Linked DNA regions of Drosophila melanogaster. The protein of the gene in region 1 interacts with the protein of each later gene in a pairwise test. Each region holds a gene or a part of one and is shown on either strand. Other genes may lie near its edges.

Region 1 (5,483 bases):
AGTGTGGCCGCTCGCGGATCGCAGCTAAATGCCGGCGCGCTGGTGTTGGAAAACTCCCCGTGGCGGTGGGAACGCACTTTTTGAACTTAACGAACGGTGCTTACACTGAGCCCTCGAAGGGGGGTCATTTGCAAATGGTTTATTACATTGGATTAAACAATATATTCTGAAAAAATGTAGGAACAACTAAGCCTCTTCAAGTTAATGACTAAACACACGGTCAGTTGCTAAGAAACCACCTAAACCAGCAGCACACATCACATAAATCACATAAATGAAATTCCGGCCCTGAGCTCGAAAATTATCTGCTTGTGTTCGGAACCAATGCTTAAGGGCTACTAGATTTAGTCTTTACCTCCTTCTTCTTCTGCTCCAGGCTGACCTGCACGGCGGCGTCGAACTCGCGTCGGTCGCGCACGCGCTGCTCGCTGCGCAGGTGGAAGGGTCTGGAGCGGGTACCAGCCGGATGCAGTCGCGCCTGGTCGGCCGGATCGTCGTCGCGACGCCGCTCCACGTTCGACTGGCTGTGCTTGAGCGTCTCGGGCGTGCGCGGGACGGTGATTTTGTGGATGACTGCCAGCTCGTTCATGCGCTTGTGCATGGCCTTAAAGTTGGGCATGGGTCGGCTGTGGAACTGGCGCGCCTTGCTTTCCTCCTCGGAGCGCTTGCGCATCGCCTGCTGCCGCTTGCTCTCGTACACGTCCTTGAACTGGTATGCCTTGGGGGCGGCGGATGTGGCAGAGGCGCCGGCTCCCTCGTGCTCGCGGTGGCGTGGGGGTGACCACTCCAGGCGGAGCTTGGCCCCGACGCCGGGAGGACGTTCCTGGTGGACCAAGTGCTGATCGGCCTCCGTCATGTGCTTCTCATCATCGTCCCCATCCTTGCCCCAGTTGAGCGGAACAATTTGTTTGATGTCGTCCTGCGGCTCTGGGCCGTTGTCAAGTGGGGACACTTGAGCCAGCTCCTGGAGCTCTGTTTTCAACTTGAGTTCTGGCACATCGTGGGGCTCAACTTTGGGCTTGATAGTGAGTGCATCCTTGGACGCCTCTGTCGTGTCTTTGGGGGACTCCTTCTTGAGATCCCCAGCACTAATCAGCTTGCCATCGAAGTCACCATCGCGCTGTTCCCGGCCGATCTTCTGCGGAGTGGTGCACAGCAGGAGGGGGTTAACATTGCTGAGGCTCCTGTTGTTCTCCTTGTTGGCCCGTGCTGCTGGGAAATGCGGGAAATGGTCAGCAATGGTCGGCCAAAAATGGCGCGTTTTCTCAGCTTGGACGCGGTGGCCTGGATACGCACCGAAAAAGTTCTGGGAGTGATCCAACTGGTAGTCACCCACGTTGATGGCGTCCCAGTCGAAGTCCGACTGGCCAAAAGTTGAGCTTGCGTTGTCCATGGCCAGTAAATAGAGAATAAAACCTCAACCGAGAAGTTTCCGCACCGATTCAAAAAAAAAAAACAAAGCAAATCCCGAGCCCGCAAGAAACTCGATAAGTGCAATTAAATGGCGGCGCTTTACAGCACTGGTTTATCTCGCGATACTTATCGATAGCTCTGCGCGCGCAAACTTCAATTTACTGAAAAATGTGGCTCAGTGTTATTTAGTAACACGAAATTTGATTGCTGAACACTAGGATTATAGAAACAGTGGACTATTCGAGCACGGGATACACTCCTGACTTTGAAGCCTTCGTCGGAGAGCAAAGCTTAGGCGCCGTCCCGCGGAAGCTCCGTCCAAAGCCGTTCCATTCTTAAAGTTGCCCGAGGGATTATGTCTCGAGAGTGCTTCGAAGTACTCACGAAATAACCACGTTCCCGTGGGAAAGGACACCTGTGCGGCGCACCTGTCGCGCGCGGAAGCGCTTGAAAGCTGGCGCAAGCTTTGGCTGAAAGCTGAGCCTCGGAAAAGGGACTGCCTGTTGGCGGCCAACGAGCCCTGTAGTCTGTGCTGGGCAGCGCATGGCAACAGGTCGGGCAGCGCACCGCCCAGAGGATCCACTGCGTTGCATCCGCAGCATCCGCACAGCCTCGGAGTTTTCGAAGTCCTCGTGGGTCGCTTGTTTTCGTTTAGCAAACCTCTGCAAGGTGGTTGAAGGTCCCTTCCCCCGCGCGGACGAATTGCGCGCGCTAAAAATAACGGTTGCCCGCCCAGTCAGTCTGGTCCAGTCAGCTGAATCGCAGATTCCTTCCAGATCCTTGGAGTGACGAGTGGCGTGCGGCGTGCCGAAAGAAGCCGCCTTGGGCGCCAAAGTCGACGGCGGGCGTCGGAGCAGAAATGCGTGCCGCGCCTCCTGAGCCTGAGCCTCTGCAATTAGCCGGATCCGGTGAACAGGTGAGCTGAGGAACTAAGGGGCTAAGGTGGCGGTGGCTATGTTTAATCGCTCGGCAGAAACGCGGCAGCTGCAGCTAATTACGGCACTGCGGTCTAGCTTTAATTGGAAGCCGTCCTTGTCCTAGTGCAGCTGGACGCGCTGAAAGGGCGGAAGGAAGCTGGGAGGACGTCCTTGAGTGGAGGCCTTGTGGTTTGCTCCTAATTGCCATCACTCGCCTTAGCCCACCCCCCTCATGTTGAACACCACCCCCGGAAACGGGAGGCTATTTCCGTCGCTAGGCCCACCTGAGCCCCGCAAGATCTTGCGAATCAATAAAGGTTTAAAATTAACCGTCAGCCGAGTGGGATGGCTATGGCTGTGCGTGCATGCTAATTCGATTTGCCCACCAACCACTGTCCACCCGCCTACCATCTCCCCCTGGGAGACTTGGCGAGCAGCAGACGACTGTAACCTATGCGTGCTCCCTCTGCGAGGCAGCGGATTCGGAAATAGGGGCCGGAGACGTGAGACAGCTGCCGGAAACGGGAGGAAATTAGATTACAAGACATCAGCAGGCAGGATTCCATTGAGTGCTGCCGGATTCGGGATGCGCAGAAGGCGCACTGGGAGCGCGGTCCCAGTTATTACTTCGATCTCTGTTGTTACTTTCCAGTGACGGAGGCCCCGTTGTCTAGCAACCACTTCAACCGCAGGCAGCGACCGTAATCCGCTTAGCGCGGGAAGGAAGCCAGGGTGCAGAGATGCTGCACGTTCTCTCCTCCTGCCCACCGCATCGCGTCATTTTGAGCGTTGGCCGTTGGTCTAATTAGCGGGGCAGGGGCGGGGTTAGCCTTCCTATGCTCCAGCCACTTTCCACTTTTCTACTGCCCCTTGTCATCTCTCTCTGTTCTGCCGAGCGACATACCGTTGGGCGCCGCTTCCAGCGGGAATGCTCGAAATCTCGATCGGCTTGTCCATTGATGCGGAAGCGGGCGAAAGGGATTCCCCGCCATCGCGACCCATCGAACCCACTCCACACGCCCGAATTTCGCCCGGAACGGGACAGAAAATCAATAAATCGGGATTTAATGAGTTTCAAATATTTGCCACGGTGCAGCGAGATGGTGTGGTGTGGGTAAGTGGGTCGCATTATGGGGGTGGCAGCTGGCAGTGGGTGGGAGCCACGCTCACGAAGATGCCTCCCGATTAGAGTGCCCCGCCTCCGCTCCTGTCAGCCTAAGCCCGGTCTTACACAAAAGAGGAGGAAGAGTGGCGAGTGGATAGACAGCAGGGGCAGGAGGCAGGAAGCTGGTAGCTGGGGGACAACCATTGCTTGGGAGAGCTGTACAGGAACGGGCAGCTCATTCGTTTCCCTGCTTCCAGGCGGACGGGATGCGTCTGCGGTCCTGAACGTTCCAAACGCGCTGCTACGAACGGCCATTATGACGGGCGCCAACATCGACTACGATTACCTGCTCAAGTTCCTCGTCCTGGGCGACTCCGGCGTGGGAAAGACCTGTCTCCTCTACCAGTACACGGATGGCCGGTTCCACACCCAGTTCATCTCCACTGTGGGCATCGACTTCCGCGAAAAGCGGCTGGTAAGTTCAAGCGGCTAATCATCCTGTGATCCTTTTCATGGGACTCACCTAACATAGCCAACACAATCCTAGTGAAGTCGGTTTGAGAGTCACGAGGATTTTGCAACCACATCACTATCATTTCCGAACCCTAGTGACCCATCACTTTTTTTTGCATCCTTCAGCTGTACAACTCCCGCGGACGCCGCCACCGCATCCACCTGCAGATCTGGGACACCGCCGGACAGGAGCGCTTCCGTTCACTAACCACGGCGTTTTACCGCGACGCCATGGGTTTCCTGCTCATCTTCGACCTGACCAGCGAGAAGAGCTTCCTGGAGACGGCCAACTGGCTGTCGCAGCTGCGGACGCACGCCTACTCCGAGGACCCCGACGTGGTCCTCTGCGGCAACAAGTGCGACCTGCTGCAGCTGCGCGTGGTGAGTCGCGACCAGGTGGCGGCCCTCTGCCGACGCTACCGGCTGCCGTACATCGAGACGAGCGCCTGCACCGGCGCCAACGTCAAGGAGGCCGTGGAGCTGCTGGTTGGCCGGGTCATGGAGCGGATCGAGAACGCGGCCTGCAACCGCGAGTTCTCCCTGCTACTGACCCAGTCGCGATGCCTGCCGAACATCGCCTACGGTCAGCCGGAGGACCTGGTGCGCCTCCACGATCGGCGAGAGGAGCCCTGCTCGCGGCGCAACTGCCGCAACTGTTAGGTGCCATGCCCGTGGCCAAGTCACCCTGCTTTGTTCCTTGACTCGTGTTTCCGAATCTAAGTGTGTTTCGCTGTAAATAAATGTTGATTGTTGAGTGGAAAGCGTTTCATTGCACGACAAGATACGAAGAGGTCGTTGTAATTATCCGACTCTTTCGAAACCGTCCAGATTTGTAGATTGTAGATAACTGATAGCTGCGGAATGGCATTCGAGGTACCAAAAGTGATTCGAAAGATAGATACATACATAGGTTTGCATACGGTAGCTCTTAGATTCAGAGCTGTCGCTACATTGTACGTGAATGTGTATTATGAATATTTTGTTTAGAACATAGTTACTACATAGACTAAAGCACTGGCATGGATGCCGAAATGGTGGCTATAGCCACGACCCCGAGCACCGCATCAGCAGGGGCAGGAGCAGGAGTAGGAACAGTCCGGTAGCCAGCCTGGAATGGGGAGCCCCGCTGCGTCCCTCTATCCACTGGCGGTAGTACTCCACGTCCACGTAGACTCCCGGCAGTCCCGGCTCTGCGCATCCGTAGCCCCAGGAGACCACACCCACCAGACGGCCCTCGTGCACCAACGGTCCGCCGGAGTCGCCTTGACAAGAATCGGTGCCGCCCTGCAGGCGTCCTGCGCACATCATCCCGGGCAGCAGGCCGGACCTGTAGATCATGCGGCAGGTCTGGTGCCGGATGGTGCTCACGTTGGCCGTCAGCAGGATGTTGGAGAGGGAGCTCTGGGAAAGAGTCAGATAAGCTGCGGGCTCAATGGCTTGCCTACGGCTCTACAAATCCGACTCACCTGCTCGGTTCGACCCCAGCCGGCCACCTGGCACAGCTTGCCGGGGGGCGTGATCTGGCCCGCCAGCTG
Region 2 (4,510 bases), on another chromosome or scaffold:
TATTCCACGAAGGATGGAGTAAATTCGCGAAACTTCGAGACTGCAGAACAGTTCTTCTTTTTATGGCCTGGCATTTAAGCTATTAACTTTAATTAATATCCAAGAATGGGGCTCTGTAGTGGGGAAATCTAATTAAAATACATAAGTGGTTAATGCCGGGTAGGTAATAACCCATGGGATGTAAGCGTATTATTACTCCAATCAGTAAGAAAATGTAAAAATGATACGATTTGGAACATATGTACATTCATACAATAAAGGATTCGAAGGATGTAAAAATTATTTGAATAAAATGTAATGCAACTATTTTGAATTTCAAAGGTCGATAGATGAAAACATAAACCAAAAAACATTAAAAACATTTAATAAATTCTAATAGTCAATATTTGGTTTATTGAAAACGAGGCTGTAACCTTTTATTATATTTGACCAATTTCTTAAGACAAATACATATGTATGTATGTAAGATTTAGCTGCACATTTGCTTGGTACAACTTGATAAATATTCAGCTTATATACACATTGTTTAGAATTCAGAATTACTTCGTAATAACCAAATCAAATGACAATTTGTTTACAATTTGTTGTTACAGTAGCGATTGAATAACCATATAATACATGGGCATTGCTATAGAACTCAATCTCTGGTTGTTATATAATTCGAGTTTTTATTTATGGCCCCATTTTCTTGTCACCACTCCTCCTCCACTGAAGTAGAGTACTCTTGGTGCCCAGGGCTTGGACAATCCAACGCCAACGCAGTGGAAGTTGTCTATTCAAAAAGGTGGCCACATAATGTGCGAGCATGCTCGTCCGGCGGATTTCTTCCCCTTGGTTAGGTAAATGGGAGCAAGTACCCAGTGTGTATGTACATGGGGAATGTATCGTATGTACAAGGGGGCATCTCGTACGCAGCAATCTCTGAAGGTTTTTGCTCTTTTCCGACTGCAGCTGGCAGATACACCATATCAATACAAACATACTATATAATATAATATATGGCCATACAGAATTGTATCCCGCAGCTGAGTTCGGGGCCCCAGTAAATTTTTAGCAAAGTCTCCACTGTCTGGCCCCCGTCTGGATGTTGTTGGTGTTGTTGTTGTTTTTTGCATTTTGGAGCTTTTCAACCGGTTGCCATCGCTTGCACTTGGCTATGTAACCACATACGAATCCAGCAATATCATCATCATCTGTGTGGCAGGGTATGTATGTATGTATGTAGATACAAATGTATATGGAGATACCATATGTATGGGTTGCCCCAGACGCTGTCACTGCGCATGTTTACGCGACGCCGGCTTGCCAATCCTCCAGCTCTGGCAACAGCGGATTTGTAGCTTCCAGGCGGCCCTGCCAGCCAGCCAGCCAGCCAGCTGTTGTTGTAGTTGTTTATCGCCGGCGACTCGAATCCGCATCGGCAACCGGCACGAGACTCAGACTCTCAGCTGTTCGCTCAATGCCGGCAGTGGGAATTCAGCTGCAACACGACCACTTTACATATACCCCGTCTATATGGATATTTGTATATATGAGTACATATATGTATATCGCCGGTACAAGGAAGATGGCATCTCTTGGGGGGGATATTCGTGCATATATGCTTCGATTTCAAGCCGGTTTGCCTCTTTTACGTATCTTTTTTATTTGGTTTTGCAACGTTGCAGTTTGGTTTGTCTGGTTTCTTGCCGACTACGAGTACGAGTACTTTCTTTGTTCTCTGGCTATCTGCGGTAGAGGAAAAGTATCTCTTATTTCGGTGTATATAGCAGAAAATGGCATAGTACATGGCTTGACTGACTGTTTTAATGGGTAGCCCTTCCCCTTGGTGAGTTCTCTGGAGGAGTTGCATAGTTTTTCGCCTGGGAGCTGGCATGGAAGCCGACTGGAAGTGACCAGGTTTTCCATTCAGCGCTGCACAGCCGCTTAAAAGCGTCGACATTCAGCCATAAGGGCTCAAACGCAGTCCAGTTGGAGGCCAGAACGGATCGCCGCCGGTTCCCAGACGACACCAATCCCCGCAAGACCTAAAAAATAAAAGATATATCTTAGCCAGATAGGAAGAAAGTGAAAATGTCGCTGATACCGTTCATACTAGATTTGGCCGAGGAGCTGCACGATTTCAATCGCAGCCTGGCAATGGATATAGATGATTCGGCCGGATTCGGGTTGTATCCACTGGAGGCCACCTCACAGTTGCCACAGCTGAGTCGTGGGTTGGGGCGTGGGAATGCAATGATGTGGGTGCCCATCAAGGGTCAGTCGGCGGCATCGCAGCATCGCCATCATCCGTACAATCGTGTGGCCGGAGCCAAGACTGCTTGCTGCAATAAGTCGCTGGTGGAGCTGGAAAAGGAATTGGGCGATAAGGGCACGTCCGGGGCAAGCGGCAGCACCAGTGGCCAACCGGCGGCCAGCAAATCCGCCTACTCCGTGGTGAATAGGAACGGCTTCCAGGTGAGCATGAATGTGAAGCAGTTCGCCGCCAACGAACTGACCGTCAAGACCATCGATAACTGCATCGTGGTCGAGGGTCAGCACGACGAGAAGGAGGATGGCCACGGGGTGATCTCGCGCCACTTCATCCGCAAGTACATCCTGCCCAAGGGCTATGATCCCAACGAGGTGCACTCGACCCTCTCCTCGGACGGCATTCTGACGGTGAAGGCGCCGCCACCACTTCCAGTCGTCAAAGGCAGCCTGGAACGACAGGAGCGCATCGTAGACATCCAGCAGATATCGCAGCAGCAGAAGGATAAGGATGCGCAGCCGCCAAAGCCGTCAGAGGTAGAGCAGCAGGCGGCAGCTAGTGCCACCACTTCCACTTTAAATCCGACTGCACCCACACCCACTCCTTCGCTCTCGCTCACTCTCGCCGAGAGCAACGGCAACGGTCAGGAAGAGACAGAGATGGAAATGCCGGCTGTTTCGCCCCCCATTTCCAATGAGGCTGCTGCTGCCGCTGCTGTTGCAGTGGAAGCCCCTTCCACCGCAGGAACCACTTCCAGTGCCAACAATGGCGTTGCAGAACCAGAATCAGAGTCCATGGAAGTGGCGTTGGCCAAAAACGAAGAGACTGCCAATGTGGATGAACCCACACCCAATCCCGTTATAAGCATCGAAGAGGAGCAAAAGGCAGAGGATGCAAATGCCAACGAAGTGCCCGTTGCCTCGAATAACGGCAATGGAGCAGTCGCAGCAGCCGAGGATGTGGAAATGCCGCTGGCCAAGAAACCGGAAATCTCCACGGAAGACAGCAAAGAGGAGCAGGCGGAGAAGGTTGATAAAGTAGAGAAAGTGGAGGAGAAGGGCGGCGAGGAACTGGCAGCCGTAGATGCGGCCATTCTACTGGCCAAAAACCAAGGCGAAAATGGAGCCACTGCAGCCAAAACCGAGGAACTGGCCAAGTGAAGACTGAACTAAAAGAAAGAACATAAATAGTAATTAAGAACAAATAATAATCTGCACGGGTAGGCGTGCGTTTTATTCCATACGTGTTTCTTGTGTTTTCTTTTCTTGCATTTCACACAAAAAAAAAGAAGCGAGAAAGCTGACGGGAAAAGCACTCAATTACTAATAGTGGGAGATTGCTGGCGTTATATGTATGTATGATTTTCTAAAAAACATATGTGACAACAACTACAAGTATTCCAGTAAAACTTAAAGACAGAAACACGAAATAATGTACTTAATAAAGAGGAAAACCAGAATAAAAAAAACTGACGTTTTGTTTTGTTTGCCGTTAGCCGGCTGTTTCTTTTGCGCTCTTTCTAGAAAATTGCAACAACTCTCTAGAAACTTCGGCTCTCTCACTCATACAGGCGCACTAGCTCTGCTTTTGCGCGTACGACAACAACTACATTTAAAATTTCTCGAAACTCATGGCATTTATTGGGAAAGGTTAGTTAGTTTTATTTTTTGTTTTTAGAGCAGCATTCAATTTAGACTTTTATAAAAGAAATTTCTAATTTGATCCCTCGTTTATCAAACGATACAAAGCTATATTCATAATTTTTTCTCTCTGTGCACGTTCTCTCTCTTCTCTTCTCTCTCTCTACTCTTTCCTTTTTCTGTCACTTTCCGGACTCTTCTAGAAAAGCTCCAGCGGGTATAAAAGCAGCGTCGCTTGACGAACAGAGCACAGATCGAATTCAAAAATCGAGCAGTGAACAACTCAAAGCAACTTTGCGCAAAAGCAAAACTTCAAACGAGAAAAAAAAGGATTAAAAACCTTTGCTTACAAGTCAAACAAGTTCATTCAACTTAACCAAAGAAAAAATATTTCAATCTCGCAAAAGGAACATAACCTAAAGGAAACGTAAAAATGTCGCTATCTACTCTGCTTTCGCTTGTGGATGAACTCCAGGAGCCCCGCAGCCCCATCTACGAGCTTGGACTGGGATTGCATCCGCATTCCCGCTACGTGCTGCCCCTTGGCACTCAGCAGCGCCGTTCCATCAACGGATGCCCTTGCGCATCGCCGATATGCCCATCGTCGCCCGCCGGCCAG

The links.
Region 2: the proteins of Rab27 (region 1) and Hsp67Ba interact in a two-hybrid assay, tested with the Drosophila melanogaster proteins (one large-scale study listed by BioGRID).

Annotation. Positions count from the first base shown.
Region 1 is NC_004354.4:1,473,102-1,478,584, reverse strand, and holds Rab27 (Rab27), read left to right. Parts: upstream 1-1,610; 5' UTR 1,611-2,272; coding exon 2,273-2,329; intron 2,330-3,692; exon of another isoform or gene 3,693-3,751; coding exon of another isoform or gene 3,752-3,790; coding exon 3,791-3,910; intron 3,911-4,074; coding exon 4,075-4,608; 3' UTR 4,609-4,701; downstream 4,702-5,483. Other genes in the region: mei-38 (meiotic 38), read right to left, coding at 356-1,209, 1,297-1,393; CG14780 (uncharacterized protein), read right to left, coding at 4,987-5,349, 5,415-5,483.
Region 2 is NT_037436.4:9,377,003-9,381,512, reverse strand, and holds Hsp67Ba (heat shock gene 67Ba), read left to right. Parts: upstream 1-1,978; 5' UTR 1,979-2,073; coding exon 2,074-3,411; 3' UTR 3,412-3,711; downstream 3,712-4,510. Other genes in the region: Hsp26 (heat shock protein 26), read left to right, coding at 4,325-4,510.